3 linked regions of the Cricetulus griseus genome follow. The protein of the gene in region 3 interacts with the protein of the main gene of each other region in a pairwise test. Links are inferred from orthologs where the notes say so. Each region holds a gene or a part of one and is shown on either strand. Other genes may lie near its edges.

Region 1 (6,282 bases), on a different chromosome or scaffold from region 3:
CTTAAGCATCGGGTGGTTTCCGGCTGTAACAGAAAAGACTAATCTACTCCGGAAAGACCTTTCTCTGGGCCCTGTGCTTGCAGAAATTTGAGTCTGTTTACATCGCGTCCTCACACGGGTTTCCAGGTATCCGCAGCGATTGTCGCTGAGTCCCAGTCCCAAAGGAGTGCTGAAACAGCGGAGGCCTGTCGCAGACGCAAAGGGGTGCTCTGTGTAGTACAGCTCCCAGCGAAGCCCAGACCAAGGCACGACAGAAAGGCGTGAAACACCTTCGGAGGAATAGCAGAGATGATGTGGCCAGAGCGATAGAGCAGGCTTCTTTGTGTCTGAGTGAAGGATGGGCCTACAAGAGGTCGGGCTTTGATCCTAAAAGCCGGCTTCTTTAGCAAAGCAGCCCAGTAGCCAGTCTGCTTAACCAACCAGTCTAACGGACAGAGAGTGCGAACCAAGGGTAGGGCTGTGAGAAGGAAGTTGAGGAATATTGAGAGGCGGGTCAACACAACTTTTGTCTTGTGACCAACTGAATTTGACTGGTTTTCCTGTGGTTCCCTAGTTGCAGAATGGAGCGGTGCCTGACTGGGAAAAAGGAAGCCCTGGGCAAGACTAAGGAGCGGGTTGTAAAGAAGACAGTGCATTGGGTGAACCTGAGAGAAGAACCCGCTCCTGGAGATGTCAAAAACAATTCTTCAAAATAAATACCAGTCACACATAAATTCGGAAGAGGAGGAACACTTGGTTTTACTAAGAAAATATACTTCAAATACAAAACCCAAAGACATTAAGGAATAAAGCAAAAGAACATTTAGGGGGCTGGAGAAACAATTCAGTAGTTAAAAGGCACTGGGTGCTCTTGTAGACGACCCAGGTTCAATCTTCAGCACCCACATGGCATCTCATAACCGTCCATATCTCTAATTTTAGGGACTCAACATCGTTTGACCTTCTTGAGCAGAGGCATGTACATTGTGCCATCTTACACGCAGAGACTTACAAAATACCCATACACATAAAATATTTTAATTTAAAGCTTTTAGACTAATAGCTCATGAATTTAGATGCATTCTTACTAAAATGTAAACGTGTCTAAATCAACAATATATAAAAAGGAATACAACATAGTTAAGTGTGGCTGAGTCTAGAGTGCAAGGTTGATTTGACTTTCAAGAATAAGAGACTGGAGTGATGGTTCAGCAGTTAAGAGCGGTTGCTGCTCTCCCAGCACCCACATGGTTGCTCAAAACCATCTGTAACTCCAGTTACAGGGGATCTGACTGCCTCTCCTGGCCTCTGTGGGCACCAAGCACTCAGGTTCTCAGATATGCCATACAGACAAAACCTACATACACATAAAACTTTTTAAAATATTCTATTAAAAGCATAAATGTAACACCATATAAACTTAGGAAAAATTAGAGATCATTTTAGTAGATACAAGTGTAAACTCATAATATTAAATTTAAAAGCGGGAAAATGCTGTGGGGATATAGCTTATTTGGCAGAGTGCTAGCCTAGCATGCAAGAAGCCCTGGGTACAGTCCCTAGCACAGCATAAAGCCCAACAGAGTGGTTTTAAGGATCCAGGCATTATGCTGGCCAGCCTCTGTCACCTGGCAGAATGCACTCAGGCAATGCCCTGGTCAGCCCAGGGGCAAAGGACCCTTTTGAAAGACCTCCACCCACTTATGCTCTCTTTCCTACTGTTCCCCTGGGACAGACAGACAACTTTTCCTGTCTCCCTCTTCTGTCCTCTCTGTCTCTGTCTCTTTTTTATCTCCCCACCCCCTCGCCTTTCTGTCTGCCTGTCATGTTTGTCCCTCTGCCTAGGTCACCCTCGCCTGACATGGAATCCGCCAAGGTCCCCCTCAAGCTTTATCATAACATTGGTGCTGTGACTTGGCAGACAGGACATTTAAAGAGACAGAGTAGATTTAAAGTGGTGACATACTTTTAATCCCAGCAATTGGAAATGGAGGCAGAAAGATCAGAAGTTCGAGGTCATCCCCAGCTTCATAGTGAGTTCAAGGCCAACTTGGAATATGTGAGATCTTATCTCAAAAATAACTCGGCTAAGAAGGAATAGAAAATTTTTTTTGTGAGTGGTGGTACTGGGGAACAAACCTAGGGCCTTGTATGTGGTACTGAGTGTAATCCTAACACACACTCTTAACCTTAAAATCTACAAAAACCTTACCAACAACATACTTGAAGGTGGAAATGAGAGCTTTCCCCTTAAAGCAAAAGGCTATCTGGGTAGCATAGACCTGCAGTCCTAGCACTTGGAAGGCTGAGACAGGAAGGCTCAAACTTCAAGACCAGTCTGGAGAATGAATGAATGAATATATATATATATATATATATATATATATATATATATATATTCCATCTGTGTCTTGGACAGAAAGAGAGGGAGAAGGGGAGGAAAGAGACAGGCCAGATGTGGTAGTGCACACCTTTAATCCCAGCACTCAGGAAGCAGAGGGAGGTGGGTCTCTGAGTTTGAGGCCAACCTGATCTACATAGCATGTTCGAGGCTAGCCAGGGGTACATAGTGAGACCCTCTTTCAAGAAGAGTGGATGTTTTACCAAAGGCCCTAACCAAATGAATACAGCTCAAAAAGAAAGGGCACATAGATCTCAAAGAATGAACTTTGTCTTTATTCCCAATGTCATGATTTAGAGTACAAAAAAGCCACTGGAACTCAGAAGAGAGGACCAACATATAACAGTCTATTGTTTGTTCATGGGTTTTCATTTCCAGGTTATCATACATGGGTTTCACTATGGTACTTCATACAAATGTGCAATCCTTGGTTCTCATCTCTTCTGCATGTCCCCTTCACATCACCTAGGGAACTGTAACCTCTAGTTCCCTTTCTTCCCTACAAAAGCCAGTCTTGTGACATGCTTGTTTAACCTGCCCAAAACCTGGATTTGCCTAAATTTGTTCTCCACCACTGATGAGGGAAATAAAGGTTATTTGTATGTACTAAAAAAAAAAGTAGATTAAACTTTAAAATATATACCATTTTCCATGGCATCCAAGAACATGAAATACATATAATTTTAGATCTGTGCTAAAAGCTATAGAATAATGCCAAAGAAAATTAGACTGTAATGTGTTCATAAGTGGCTGACTCCAAAGACAGTGATGTCCATTGTCTTCATCATAGTGTGTTTTTTTGGTAGTTTGTTGTTGTAGAGACATAACACAGGGTTTCACACATGCTAGGCAAGCACTTTATCATGGAATTATATCTCCAGCTCCTGCCATTGATCTCTGCATTCAATAAAATCTGAAATTTTCTCAATAAGTACTTAACATTTTTATTGGTGTATAGTCATTGTGTATAGTGATGCATAAGGACTAGTTTTGTTTTGGTTTTGAGTCAGGGTCTTGTTAATGTAGCTCTGGCTGTCCTGGACTTTCACTCTCTAAACTAGACTGGCCTCAAACTCACAGAGATCTGCCTGCCTCTGCCTTCTAAGTGTTGTGATTAAAGGTGTGCTCCACTTCACCCAACTACATAAAGATATTTTCATGAATATACTTTGTTCAATAGAAACTTCAAAAGTCCTTTGTGTAGAAACTAGTATGCTGATTATGTATCTTGTGAAAATGCAAAGAATCTGAAATAGTTAAAAGTCTTTTTTTAGATATATTTTATGTATATGAACGTTTTTTGCCCATACATCCATACTTGTCTTGGAGGTCAGAAGATGGCATCAGATCCCTGGACTGGAGGTACAGACAGTTATGAACTACACTTTGGGTCTTTTGCAGTACCAACAAGTGCTCTTAACCACTGACTGAGCCATCTCTCCAGCCCCTAAAATATTTTCTTTTGGTGCTCAGGATGGAGCCCAGGGCCTTTCACGTAATAACCAAGTGCTCAACCACTCAATTATAGCCTCAGCCCTAAAAAAAAAAAAAATTAATAAAAAGACTGACTGGGGCACTCATGTTACCTGATCTCAAGATCTACTTTCCAGCCTATATGGCTCTAGTGCTAGGGTAGACATGCAGACCAATGAAACAGAAGACAGTTCAGAAAGAGACTGACATATGTGAATGATTACTTGACAACAAAGATGCCAAGATCAGTATGAGGAAGGAGTATTTTTCAGAATTGGTGTTAGAGGAACTGGTTATGTGTTTGGGGTTGGGGGAGGGGGCAGAAGGTGAGGGATCAACATTGAACCCTTCCTACTACATACATAAAAATGAGCTCAAACTGATGTGATAGCACATGCCTGGAGTCTGGGATACTCAGGAGGCCAAGACAGATGGTCACAAGTTCAAGGCCATCCTTTGCAGTATGAGATGGAGTTCATGACCCCTGGGGAAATCAATCCAGACTATAATTAGTTAAATTTATTAAAGATGCTAGCAGGACAATACTCTCAATACTAATTGAGATTGCTTCGGGAAAGGGGAGTGAGGGAAAGGTTTTTAAAGGAGAAGACCTTGAGTATCTGCTCAATCAAGGCAAGAGCTGTTCTGTTCTCAGGGTCATATAGTCAAGGTGACCTCAGAATGGTCCTTGAAGGCCTACAAAAGCAGGTTACAGAAGCAAAAAAAAGTCATATTGTTTTGTGTTTTTTTTTTTCAAGACAGGGTTTCTCTGTGTAGCCCTGGCTGTCCTGGAACTGGCTCTGTAGACAAGGCTGGCCTCGAACTCACAAGAGATCCACCCTCCTCTGCCTCCCAAGTTCTAAGATTACAAGCATGTGCCAGGAGGCCCAGCCAAGGTTGTATATTTTTACATGGGGGTGACTAAATCAGGGTTACTGAGACTGGAGTCAGAGACAGCTAGTGGGTACCAGAATGGATGCCTAGCATAAAAGGGAGTTTCTTTAGCAATCGCAATACCATCTCAGAAAAGTTAAATCAAAATACATCATACACCTAAGAGTCAAAGCTAAAATTAGAATCAGGTGTGGTGGTGACCACCTCTAATCCTAACACTTGGGAGGGAAAGGCAAAAGAATCTTAAGTTTAAGAACAGCCTCACTACACATAACAAGACCTTGTCTCAAAAAGGAAGGGAGGGAGGGAAAGAGAGAGAGAAAGAATATATAATTTGACCTGAAAAAAAACTTTGGAATATGTACATTTGACACAAAACAAATATCCATTATATATAAAGAACCTCCACTGAGCAGTGGTGGCACATGCCTTTAATCCTAGCACTTAAGAGGCAGAGGCAGGTGGATCTCAAGGCCAGCCTGGTCTACAAAGTGAGTTCCAGGACCAGGACTGTCTCAAAAAAAAAAAAAGGAAGGAAGAAAATGCCACTTTGATCATAACCAATAATCAGTTCAATATTCAACATCCCTTATCGTTAAGGAAGTTCAAATTAAAAACTACAATGAAATGCTACCAACAGGCTCAGTGGGAGAGCATTTCCTTAGAGGGAAAGAAAAACAAAATAAAATACATCCTCTAGAATGGCTTAACGTAAGAACCCCAGCAATGCCACACATGTAGAATCCAATGACAGTCTCTAAGAAGCAAAGACACCTTCTCTTTTGGGAACCTCAGTAAGTCCCAGCTGGGTGTGAACAGTGGCTCGCATGGGGCTTCCTTCTGGGCCAGCAGCAGCAGCTTCACCTGGAAACCGGTAGGTAGTGCAAATTCTCTTGGTCCCACCTAGACCTGCTCAATGGGAAACAGAGGAGGCAATGAACAACAATGAAGTACCAGGTGATTCCAGCGCAGGAGGGCAGGAAGGAGGAAGAAGGGCTACTTCTTTAAGGCTAATTGGGACCCTCCCATTCCGCCTCCCCTTCTCTTTCCCAGGCTTCTTAACACCCTGGTGTGGGAAGCTGGCCCTTAGCTGAAGCTCGAATGGCCTGCAGTTGGAGGTAAGGCCCATGACTGGCAGCACAGTAAGCTTGAGCAGGGGATGGGTGGGACTTGGATCCCACTGGACTCACACCTGGTGCCTCCTCCCTCTCCACCCTGGGGTTCCCAGAGGGCCCCAGGGGCTGTCAGATGATCTCTCAGCAAGCTTCCCAACTTGGGCTACACAAAAATCACCATCTTCTCCATTGCTGTTTTGAGTGTTTGTGTCTCCGGTCTGGGGATGCTCTGGTCAGTTGCCTGAGATGGGGGTGGGGTGCGAGGGGTATGACTTGACCTCTAGGAGTTTTCAATGGCTATTGGATTCCCCAGGCTGCAAGGAAACCTTCCTTACAGGAGGCTGTGAGCTTAGCTTCTGTATTACTAACGAGACAGTGAGAACAGCTGAGCTCCAAAGCAGGGACCCAGGACCTATCTTA
Region 2 (6,128 bases), on a different chromosome or scaffold from region 3:
AAGGCAAGCATGGCCTACCAAACCAGACCAGACTCTATATTAAAAATTAAATTAAACTAAAAAAAAAACTTTTAAAAAAATCCCAGTATTCAGGAGATAGAGACAGGCAGATAGCTGCTTGAGAATACTCTGATCTACAAGGATTCCAGGCTAGCTAGTGCTAATTCTCAAAAAAAAATTATTTTCAGTTAAAATAAAAAACTGGGCTAAACACGTAGCTCAAGTGGTTCAATGCAAGCCCAGTGTGCAAGAAGCTCTGGGTCCAATTCCCAGTACCACACCAACTGAAAACTGTGGTTCACAGATATAATCCTAGCACTTGAGAAGTAGAAGCAGGAGGATCAGAATTTCAAGGTTATTCTTTGCTATGTAACAAATTGGAAATCAGCCTGGACTTTGGATATCCTTGTCTCAAGAAACAAAAGAGCCAGAGGTGGAGGCACATACCTTTAATCTCAGGTACCTGGGAGGCAAAGGCAGGAAGATCTCTTATTATAAGTTTGAGGCCAGCCTGATCTACAGCCAGAGCTGTTGTCAAAAGGGGGGAGGGGCAAATTAATTTATTGTAATGAAGTTATGGTGATAACTTAAGAATCAAAGGACAAATGGGGGAATGAAGGGACCAGCTCCCCATTTTGGCAGCCATGATAGTAACACATGCTTGCCATGACTTTGTCCTAATCACTAGAAGTCAGATGCCTGCCTCGTGGCAAGGAACCAATCAGAAGTTAGCTGGCAGCGCTCTGGGTGTGCTTTACGGACAAGTGCACAGCAATGACACGCAGAGCATAGCAACTACCCTGGGAGGGCCTATGGGCCATAACAACCAATTGGCCAATCAACACAGGACAAGCCCTCCAAGCCTGGAGGCACACCAATCCTGAGCCTGTGCGTACCCCTAGATACTCCCCTTACGCTGCCCTACAAGATCTCTCGGCAGCTGGTTCGAGCTGTCTTTGCTAGCCATCCGCCATGGCAGGTGGGTGAAAGACCCGAGCTAACATGGGGTTAGCTCGTTAAACAACAATAAAGCCTCATGCAATTTGCAGGAAAATAAAAAAAAAAAAAGAATCAAAAGACAAGATAGCCAAGTGTAGGAAGGTCTATTCCTTTTTGTTTCTTCAGCATATCAGCTTCCTTCTCTATTTCTGCAGACAAGCTCCCTTGCATTATTTATTATTCTCTATCTTTGTGTTGTTAATCCCACCATTCGAGAATAAGACCACTATTAGAGTTGTAAAAAAAAAAAGGCCAAAATAGCCATTTAAAAACCATGTTCTTTCCCTGGCCCTTTAATTCTATAGCCTGAGCTGACATTGAACTCCTAGAGATCTGCTATCCTCTGCCCAAGTGCTAGGATTAAAGGCTTGTGCCACCAGGGCATAATTTTGTTTGTTTTTGTAAGGAAAAAGGCCCAGCCAAACAAACACATCCTGAGCAGAGCCAAAGAAATACACTTTGGCCCTGCAACCAGAACCAAAGAAATGTACCCTGACCCTGAAACCAGTGCCAAAGAAACACACTTTGTCCCTGGAATCAGAACCAGTGAAAGAAATATACTCTGGCCCTAAAATTGGAGCCCAAAGGCTAAAAAGGACCAGTGAAAGAAACACACTTTGGCCCTGAAACCAGAGGCAAATCTGACCCTAAACCTTCGAGAAAACTAACCAATCCCTGAGCAGGAGATCTACCCATTATAAACCCAGGCATTGAAATCTGACCAATCTCCACCCTGGAAAAACTCTGCCCCTAAGAAGCCCTATATAAACCCTGTGCCTAGCCCGGCGTTGGTGGCACACGCCTTTAATCCCAGCACTGGGGGATATTTTGAGATAGGATTTCTTTGTGTAATAGCCCTGGCTGTCCTGAAACTCACTCTGTACACCAGGCTGGCCTTGAACGCGAGATCTGCCTGCTTCTGCCTCTGGAGTACTGGGATTAAAGGTGTGAGCCACTACTGCCCTGCTTTAATTTTTTTTTTTTCTGAGATAGGTTCGTATATAAGCTAGCCTCAACATTTTACAACTCACTGAGACCAGCCTGACTTTGCCTTCTGAGTGCTGAAATTAAAAGAGTGGTCAGCCAAGCCGGAATTTTGTTTTGAATCAGGGTCTTAACTGTTTTCAAGATTGGCCTTGAACACATAGCAACCCTCTTCCCTCGGTCTCGAGAACGCTGGGATTACAGGTTTTCTGAACGCTAATTTCACCCTTCAAGGTCCTAATCATATTCATACTAAACACAAGGCCCACATTTGACATAACACACCAGCGGGGGGCCACCAATCACCTCTGTTGGGATAAACCGGTCTGGCTCCGCCCACGGCCGTGGAGGTTTGAAGGCCCCGCCCCATCCTTCGGAGTTTCCCAAAAGCCTGTGCGGCAGGCTCGGCAGCTCCAAGATGGCGACTCCCATGCATCGGCTGATAGCTCGGAGACAAGCGTAAGTGAGACGACGCCCAGTGGGGTCTGCGAGAGGGCTGTGGGTGTGGAGACGCCAGTCCGCTAGTTAGTGAGCTGGCGCGGGCTGCGGGACTGAGCGGGCTCGGAGAGTCCGAAATGAATCCAAGGGTTGTTGGTTGTGTGGTTTATGATCCTCTGTCCGTCTCACACGTTTGTCAAGGTAGCCTGGATGCCTGATTCCCACACCTTCACTCCCGAGGACCCAAACTTCTCCCACTTATTCCTTTGCAGCATTTCCGGTCTCCTTCCTACCGCCTTTCCTAGAAACAAGCCTGTCTACAATGCCTTTACTCTTTTCCCATCTACCGACTCACTTTCTGCGACTCTCTCCTTCAGTAAATAGTTCTTTTAGTACCTACCACTCCATGCCTTTTTTTTTTTCAGTGAAGAAAAATGTTCGGGACACGCAGCTTATAGTCTAAATGTGGAACCAGTTAATCCTCTGAACAAGTACAGTTGGTAGTTTTAAAAATCTTTGTAGGAAATAAGAGGCTGTGATGGGAATACGGGAAAGGCTTCTTCAAATTAGTTGGACTGGAAATACATTAGTGGAGGGGTGACATTTCAAGACAGGCTGAAAGGCGTAGGAAAGACCGAGTCACCAGAGGGCTTGGGAAAAGAAACGCTAGACAATGGTATAATTGCTTTGAGGCGGTGAGAACTTTTTTTTTCTGTCAAAGCTAGCTAGCTGTTTAAGAATTAATAAATTTACACCTTTATTTAATCTCTCTCAATCTGGTAAGAATTTTGTTTAGGAAACTTGATGGCCTATAACAGGCGAACGCTTCCTTTAATTTCTTTTGCTCCCATTCTTTATTTTTGATTGGTGTTTCGAGACAGGGTCTTTTCACATAGCCCTGTCTGTTCTGAAATTTGCTTTGTGGCCAGGCTGTACTCTAACTCCGAGATCCACCTGCCTCTGCCTCCCACGCGCTGGGATTAAAGGTTTGAGCCACCATCCCTGGCCATAGCCCAGGACTTTAATCCCAGCACTTAGCCCAAGGTTAGCCTGATCTACATATCTAGTTCCAGGACATTCAGAGCTGCATACTGAGACCATGGCTCAATAAACAAATAAAATTTAAAAAACCTTAATTTTAACAGTGCTAAATTAAGTTACTAGGATCTCATTTCACCCCTTTTCTCTCTTAAACTGGTTCTTTTGGATCCAGACTTAGGCTACTTAAGTGACAAGATGGCTTGTTTTGTTTTGTCTTGTTTTTCGACACAGGGTTTCTTTGTAACAACCCTAGCTATCCTGGAATTCACTTTTGTAGAGCAGGCTGGCTTGGAACTCAGAAATCTACCTGTTTCTGTCTCCTGAGTACTGAGATTAAAGGCATGTGCCACCAAACTTGGCAAGACCTCATCTTAAAACAAAACCTCCCAGCAATGTTATGTTCACCCTCTGTATGGCCATGTGATAGTGGCATGTTGGATTTAAAGTTATGTGAAACTGAAAGGAAAATACTGTTTATGGATCTATTACCTGCTTGCTTTTAACTTTCTTGCTTTTGATGTAAGCTGTGATTTATTAGTCATAAACCTGAGTATTGGGCCAGATGTGTTAGATCATGCCTTTATTCCTAGCACTCAGAAGGCAGAAACAAGTGGATCTCTGAGTTTAAGGCTAGCCTGGTCTACAGAGTTTCAAGACAACTGGGGCTATTAACATATAGAAACCCTATTGTGTGACCGGGCGTTGGTGGAGCACCCCTTTAATCACAGCACTTGGGAGGCAGACGCAGGCGGATCTCTGTGAGTTCGAGGCCAGCCTGGTCTCCAGAGTGAGTGCCAGGATAGGCTGCAAAGCTACACAGAGAAACCCTGTCTCGAAAAACAAAAAAAAGAAAAAAAGAAAAGAAACCCTGTTCTGTGTGTTGGGGGTGGGGGGCGGTTTAAGTGTGTGTGTATAGGAATTGAGGCCAGAGGAACTTGTTGGGGTCAGTTCTCTGCTCCTTCCACCATACAGATCCAGGGATCCAACTCAGATCTTCAGGCATATAGGAAGCACCCTTACCCACCCAGCCATCTCCCATCCTTAAAAGTGTTTTAATGGGTTAGTGGTCTACCTTGGTGGTAGTATTTGCTCCGTGTGCATGTAGGAGGCCCTGAGTTTAATATCTATCTAGCACTACAAAGAATAAAGTAAAATAAAAGTCTGTAATTATCCTTTGCATTCTGAACTAAAAATGTTGCTCTGAGTGCATCATTACTGGAAAGCAAAAACAATATTTGTTTTTATGTGTTTGTTTTGCTTTGAGACAGGATCTCTCGATCTGTAGCTCAGGCTACAGCCATTCTCCTGCTTTAGCCTGAAAAGTGAAGGATTACAAGCATGAAACACCACACTGGGCTTAAAGAAGCCAAGATTTGTTCTGTTAATCCCAGGTTGCATGCATTGATCCACATAACTATTTCTGTGTCTGTTAGAGTAAACATCACTATATGCCTTTATAGGTCAGAAAGTATTACAAGACAAAGCTACTTTTTTGTTATTGTTTTTTGTTTGTTTGTTTTTTAAGACAGGATTTTGCTGTGGCTTTGGAGGCTGTCCTGGAACTAGCTCTTTAGACCAGGCTGATCTTGAACTCACAGAGATCCACTTGCCTCTGCCTCCCGAGTACTGGGATTAAAGGCATGTGCCACCAACGCCCAGAGAAGACAAAACTTCTAAGACTTATATTCTGTTTATTCTTTGTAGTGAAGCCAATAAGCAACATGTAAGATGTCAGAAATGCTTGGAATTTGGACATTGGACTTATGAGTGCAAAGGAAAAAGAAAGTACCTCCACAGGCCTTCAAGAACAGCAGAGCTGAAGAAAGCTTTAAAAGAAAAAGAAAATAGATTGTTGCAGCAAAGGTAAGTTTACATGTGGTATCCAGAGGAAGTTACCCAAATATTTACATTATTGATTAAGGGCTGAAAGTTTTGTTTTACTAGTAGCTGAATTTCTTGTTTATTTTGGGTTTTGGACATTGTCTCACTATGTATCTCAGGCTGGTCTCAAATTTGCAGTCCTCCTGTCTGAATTCTGAGTGCTGGGATTACAGTGTGTGCCACCAATCCAGTTTATACTAGTATTAGTTGATTTTAATCAATGGTTACTGTGTCAGACACTATACTGTGCTTTTCACAAGTGTTAGCATATCTAAACCTCCAATCCCTACTAGTGAGGTAGCCATTTTAACCGATTTGTGTGCTCACACGAGCTTGTGCATCTGCACGTTTCACAAAAGCTCACCAGACTGCTCTTTATGATGTTAGGGAATACAGCCTTGAGGTTCTGTGGGGCTTTTTGTTTTTGTTTAAACAGTAACTAAAATTTGGGTTAAACTTTATTTTGTAAAAGAACTAATTCTAGGAACTCAGATTATATCTATTGTGCTTTTGTTTGCCTGGCTTGTTCAGTAAGTAGTTCAAGCTCTAAACAAAGAAACAGATTTGTGTGTTCAGTCATCTTAACTACTAACTGGTTTTGATAAATGTGTTGCTAAGCACTAAGTCAGCCATATGTACTGCCTGTATCCTGTCCCAGGAAACTTTAGTTGATTATAGAAAGAAATCATGTGCCCTTGAGCATATGTAATAAGAACAGAATGTTCTGAGGCTAGCAGAGGCTTCTAAAATCACTCTTATTAATAGGAGCTTTTGTTCTTCCTTAT
Region 3 (6,366 bases):
CTGAGGGTTTTTTTTTCATTTTATGGTAAAATTTATAATTTGCATAAAGAAAACCACTAAATCTCTAGGTACAGTAACTGGCCGCTATTAAACAGCAGACACAACATGGAAGGAAAGTCTAGACTTCATAAGCCCCTATCTTCCTTCTGCAATCAGAGAGGTTCCTAGACAAGCCCTTTAACCCTAATAGCCTTGAGAAAGAGAAGGCTGGGAGGCCACCATTAGACCATTATTACCAAATAATATCTCAGTTGCAGGTACTGTCTCATAGCAAACTGCGAGAGGCTGGCTTGGCACATAGAGCTGTCAGGGTTGTGAAACCATGGTCACAGTGATTACATCATCTGGAGGTTAGTCTCTTAAGCACTGGGTAACATATTTTACACTCACAAATGAAAAGGTCACCACACCATGAGCCACCAGCCCACCAGTCCATATGACTAGACCATAACAAGTTTATCCTTCCTACAGCCTTCAGACTTCAGCTGAAGAACTTTCATTTTCATTTGAAATTCCGATTTCAGCTAAAAATGTCAATCTTCAGCTGTCTGTAGATTTTCATAATATACTCCCCAACCATGTCTTATGTTTAAAAGCTTAAGGTTTAAATGGATATTCACATAACCATTAATTTCTGAAGGGTCTCAAGTTCACTAAAAGGCTTTTCCAAATAAAAGTGGCTCCCAGACTGGGCATGGTGGCGCACACCTTTAATCCCAGCACTTGGAGGCAGGGGCAGGTAGATCTCTGTGAGTCCTGTGCTAGCCTAGTCTACTTAGTGAGTTCCAGAGAGAGAGAGAGAGAGAGAGAGAGAGAGAGAGAGAGAGAGAGAGAGAGAGAGAGAGGTCTTGCATCAATTTCCAGTAGGTCCTTGGCTAGGGATAGGGCCTTGGGTAGGCCCTCCATGGTCCATATTGGAAGTTTACCTGGCTCGAATGCATACAGGTGTCCACAGCTACAGTGGATTTATGTGTGCAGCAGCCGAGGACAGCTTTTCACAGCACTCCTCCCCATCCCCATGTCTGCTCTTTTGAGACAGAGTTGCTATGTATCCCTGACTGGCCTGCATTCATTACATAGCCCAAGATGATCTCCAACCCAAGGAAATCATTCTACTTTAGTTCTCAAATGCATGTATTACCATGATCAGCTTTAGGAATGTTTTCAAAATTCACTTCATATTATACAACTCTGTAAAGTTTGTAAATAGCCTGGTAAGTAGAGAAATGGCCAACCTGATTTAAGGAAACTATCCATCTTGCTGTTGCTACTTCAGAATGGTGACAATCAGTTGTCCCCAGCTCCATTTTCTCCATTGCCTCTTCCTACAGGTATCTCCAACGTTCTTTCCTCTAACACCTCTCCCTTCAAGGACACATGTAGACACAAGTGTGTATATATGTTTGAGACAAGGTCTCTCTATTATATAGTTCTGGCTGTCCTGGAACTCACTATGTAAACCAGGCTGGTCTCAAACTCAGAGATCTGCCTGCCTCTGCTTCCCGAGTGCTGGGGTTAAAGGCATGTGCCACCACCGCCCTGCATGCACAGAGGATTCTGAACAAGCCATGAGCTAAGCGCGAAGGTGCAGTGGCTGATTGCTCAGGTCTGCCACAGTACTGCGGGGAGTTTCTAAATGAATGCTGTACATTTAGCCACCAATGTTTTAAACCTATTAAAATTATTCATGGAAGTCTATAAAAAAATCAAATCCTGGTCATAGCCCTGGTTCCAGTATTTATTTTGAGAACATCTTTTGTAGAGCTAACATGTAGGCTTTGCTCTCAGGGAACCACAGGTCAATTTTCAGCCTTTGGGAACATGAGCAACACAAAATGATGATTCTTAGAGTCAGAGGCAAAAGGCCATGTGCAAAGGGGTGTCACCATTCCTGGATGTGTTCCTTGTGTGGCACTCTATGCTGTAGGCTCCTCACAGTCAGGCAGTGCCTCAGGATCTGCTGTTAATACAATCCTGCCAGGCTCATCATGGGAACTGTGAAGTGAGCCTGCCTGGCAAGCATCCCTGATACTCACCCCACCCTGAGTAGGTAGGTGACCTGCGTCATTGCTTAGGGGATTGCCCAGCACATGACTCCTAGGTCCCTCCCTAGACAAAGTCATCCAACTATACCCACCAGGAATTCCTCCTCCTCTTCTGTTTAACTTGACTTGCATATGATAATTTAATGGGATAAATATACATTTAAAAATTTCAAAATGTAAAGAGCACAAAGAAGCTGGACATGGCGGCACAAACATTAAACTTAGCACCTGGTTGTCAGAGGCAGCCAAGACTATACATAGGGAGACCCTGTGTCAAAACTAATCACCACCAACAACAAAGCAAAGTGACAAAGGAAAAGGAAGAAAAACTGTCCTATTCCAACACAACCTCAACACAGTTCCTTCATTCCCCTTACAAGAGACAAAATTAAAAAAATAAACAAACATGTTTACTCAATTTCTTAGGAAAATCATAAGCACAGGTGGCTGGATTGTTCAGTGGGTAATGTGGACCCCACCACCAATGTAAAAGCTATGAACAACAGCATATGTCTGTAACTCCAGCACCAGGGGTGTAGAGACAGATCCCAGGGACTTGCTGGACAACCAGGCTACCCAGAATGGTGAGCACTAGGTTCAGAGATCTGTCTCAAAACTAAAGTGGAAAGGAATAGAGAGAGGAAGAAGGCAGTGTCAATCTCTGGTCTCTACATGCACATGGAGGCCAGTATGCTACACACACACACACACACACACACACACACACACACACACACACACACACACACACACACACACACACACACACACACACTCCTACCTACCATCATTGAAACCCATACAAAAGTACAAACTGAAAAGCTCACCAGGGCTGGAGATGTCAGGCTAGCATTTGTAGCATTTGCTCAGGAGTGTAAAACTTGACTCCTAACATCTCAGAGAAGGAATGAACAAGAGAAAGGAGAAAGGGAAGAGACCTCAGTTCCCATCTAGAGCCACTCTGCATTTGAAATTGTCTTCCTCAGCTGCCTGCAGGCAAACAAGCTTTTCTGACAACAAAACCAGAGGGTAGGACCTTGATGTGATTTCTCACAGTCTCACTAGTGCCGTGGTTATAGTTCCTCCTGGCAACTTCCTTACATGATTTAATAATTTTGTCATCTTCCACAGATTGCTGACTCCTTTAACCAATGTCAAGCATCTGGGATTTCCCGATTGGCTTTACTAAAAGAAACACACAGTGGTGGACCCAGAGACTTCATTGCAATACATTTCTAAGAAATATACTAGGTTACAAAACATGGCCACTGTAAAAAACCCTGCTCTCCAGCCAACTGACTTTCCCTCCAGCAGAGTGAGTCCTCTACAGCCAGTGCTGACTTCCTCATAGGGCCAGTTAACCCTAGTTTGTACTCATTTGTACAACACCTACTCATATCAGCCTTGTGTCCTTAACCCCACCTCTGAATCTAGATTAAGGCAAAGGCCTCATGTGGGCCTGGTGACTGCTCTGTTTACGTAGCCACACAGCCTAACCTGGGCCTATCCCAGTCCATGTGAGTCAGTTGAACAAGGGGCGGGCACCACCCTTCCTGGAACAGGAATCCAGCTGGGACACAGGCCACCAGCACATCCCAAGAGACTCTGCAGTGACTGGAGCCAGATACAGAGCATCGAGCCAGCAGGTAAGAACAGACTGTATTGGCTGGGACAGGAGCTAAACAAGACCTGCTCACCATCATTTCTTTCCCTCCCTTGTCCTGTCTTCTAGTCTTTTAAAAAACTTGCTTCACTCTTGGAATGAAATGGGGACAAAGCTTTCCTTTTCTGACCCCAGGCCCAGGCAGGGTTTGAAGTATGAATGATTTTCTACACTAGTCTATGCATCTACCCTTACCTCATATCTATCCCACAACTATTAGCCAGGAGGCCCCAAAGGCTGTGGCTCTCTGATGCTCAGACTTCCCTAGTCTCTCACTCAAGAAAGGCCCAAATCCTCACCGAGACCTTCAAGCTCTCCAAATCTGGACGTCTGCCCACTTCTCTGGTTTTCTCCCTCAGGTGTCCCTAGCCACAGAGGGCACTCACCTCAGGGTTTGTGCAGTGGCACTGCCTTTCTGCCACTTTAAGCTTTTACTCAACTGTCTCTCATCCCTACAGAAAGCCTCCCCGAGTCCTACTGCCACTCTCTGCTCTCCTCCTCCTCCCCAGATCTTCTCACCATCTGACACAGCCTACAAGGTTTTTGGAGCTTTTTAATCCAATACGAAGTCCCTACCTCATGGAGTGATAATTTTGCTCACTTTGTACAGCTGGCATCCCAAACAGTACCTGGACTCAGGGAAATCTAATAAATGCATGTGGGATGAGCAGACAGCTATTACGGAGTTGCCTATTTGTGCTAGGTACTGTGCTAAATATTCTTTATGTGGATCTCTTTTAATCTTCTCATGCCTCGAATAGTCTGTGGTGAAAGTGTTATTACTGTTATTACAACAGAAATGACATAGAGCCTTGCCCATTGTTTGTTCTTACAGTCAGAGGTAGGCAGTAGGTTGAGCCTCTCTCTAACGTCCCAGCCTCTGCTCTGCCTCCCCTGGTCCTTCACTGAGGGAACAGCGTTTCCTAGTTCCCTCTAGCAGTGCAGCCCTGAAAGGAGAGGGCACATGTTGTGGCTTAGCAACAGCCCCCTCCTTGCCGATTCACCAGATCCCTGGGTTAATTTGGCCTTACAGGAGCTATTACTCCACCACATTAACCCACACTTCTGCTTTTTCTGAAGGATGGATGAGTTGTCCACAGGAACAAGTGGGAGTCCCAGAGTTCCAGCAGTTTAGAACAAAGTGTTCTCATTCTTTTAAGTTCAAAGATGGGGGCTGATGGGCCCCTTTCCAGCCCCGCTGATTCCACAGAGCCTGACTGCTGATACGCTGTGGGTGTTATTATTGCTTACAATTTGAAGAGGTGTAGAAAGCTCTGGGATGGATATCTGTAAGGTGTTGTGGGGGAAGGGAAGTCCCTCCAGGAGCAAGGACTGGATGGGCTGGTTCCCTTCTAAGAAGCCAACAACTTGTAGAAACTGAACAAACTTTCATTATCATACTATTTTATGTGTAACTCATAGGGCTGTAGTTTCCCTTTCTACACCCAGTTATTCTTCAAAGGACTTTCTACAGGTGGTAATTGGAAGCATGTTTATCTAGGTGTCAGGTGACATTTCTGGGAGATGTGAACAAATGTCTATTCACCTCAGACAGAACAAATGACAGGCCAACTCAAAGATCCCATGCCTACTGTAGTGAACCAAGGAGTTTAGTGGGCTTAAAGGAATCTAGGTGACTCAAAGGCAGCTCCATCGCAGGAGAGCCCACCCCAGCACAGGTGATGACAGCAGATAGCTCCCCAGAAGAGTCTTCTCTCCCAGGCAACTGTTCACTGCTTATATAACCTTGGGGAGGGCTTTGTGAATCATAGCTTTCTGAGCTCCTCAGAGTGTTGTATGCTTCCTTAGGTTCCTGAGGCCTATAGGCCTCCTACTCCCTTCCAGGAGGGAATGTTGTTTCAACTGGGAGGAAATAGATACCCACTAGGTCACGGAATTCTCTTCCCTATGTCTGCTTTTCTCCTCTTGTAACTTTATGAAGGCTTGGTTCTGGAAATTCACACCAGCTAATGAGGATGACAGGCAAACAAATACAGCTTGGTGAAATTTCAATTTAGGAAATGCAAAAGGCCTGGGTCAGAGCTTCCTAAACATTTGTGGAATGAACAATGACTAGGGAATACATGAGATGTTGTGGTCTAGGGAGAAGAGGTTTGACGATCCTTGGGGGTTGTGTGGTGTAGGATTCAGAGGGAGGCTTAGAGCTGAACAATTCGCCATATGAACTGTGGGTGGCATTTAAGACAGAGAAAACAGCACTCCCAAAGCACAAAGGCATGGGCTAGCAGGCTGAGTTTTACAACCAGCAAACAGTTTGAAATGAGTGAAATGCAGTGAGCAATAGAGACATGCCCTCCAGGATTCAGTCATGAAATTAAATTTTAAAGTCATATTGAAGTCTGAGATTAATTCTGATGTCAAGAGCTAGGTGTGGCTTCGCCAAAAGGTAAAGGCAGGGGCTGAGGGCAACTCCTAGATTTCTGGCTCAGCCCATGAGTGTATTTGGTGGGGATACAGTCAAGATTTGGGAAAACTTCAAGAAAACATCTTGAAGGTAATAAATATCTAAACAGCAGGTGGAACTCTGGCCTGGGTCTCCCTATCCGGGAATAGCACACTTTTACTTTCATTGGCTTAAACTTTCCACCCTTCACGGTCATTGGCGGGTCTTCTCCCTCGAGGAGGCTTTCCTGCTTT

Evidence for each region. The genes of interacting proteins can lie anywhere in the genome.
Region 1: the proteins of Sdcbp2 (region 3) and Npm2 interact in binary tests that used the Homo sapiens proteins (3 or more experiments, as listed by UniProt). The two-hybrid records come from large-scale screens. The link is inferred for Cricetulus griseus from reciprocal best matches to the Homo sapiens genes SDCBP2 and NPM2.
Region 2: the proteins of Sdcbp2 (region 3) and Zcchc10 interact in binary tests that used the Homo sapiens proteins (3 or more experiments, as listed by UniProt). The two-hybrid records come from large-scale screens. The link is inferred for Cricetulus griseus from reciprocal best matches to the Homo sapiens genes SDCBP2 and ZCCHC10.

The regions. Positions count from the first base shown.
Region 1 is NW_023276807.1:225,301,475-225,307,756, reverse strand, and holds the start of Npm2 (nucleoplasmin-2), read left to right. Parts: upstream 1-2,439; 5' UTR 2,440-6,282. UniProt on the Homo sapiens protein: Core histones chaperone involved in chromatin reprogramming, specially during fertilization and early embryonic development. Probably involved in sperm DNA decondensation during fertilization.
Region 2 is NC_048600.1:67,475,740-67,481,867, forward strand, and holds the start of Zcchc10 (zinc finger CCHC domain-containing protein 10), read left to right. Parts: upstream 1-2,285; 5' UTR 2,286-2,401; coding exon 2,402-2,442; intron 2,443-5,166; coding exon 5,167-5,325; intron 5,326-6,128.
Region 3 is NC_048599.1:28,471,237-28,477,602, reverse strand, and holds the start of Sdcbp2 (syntenin-2), read left to right. Parts: upstream 1-2,775; 5' UTR 2,776-3,691; intron 3,692-6,366.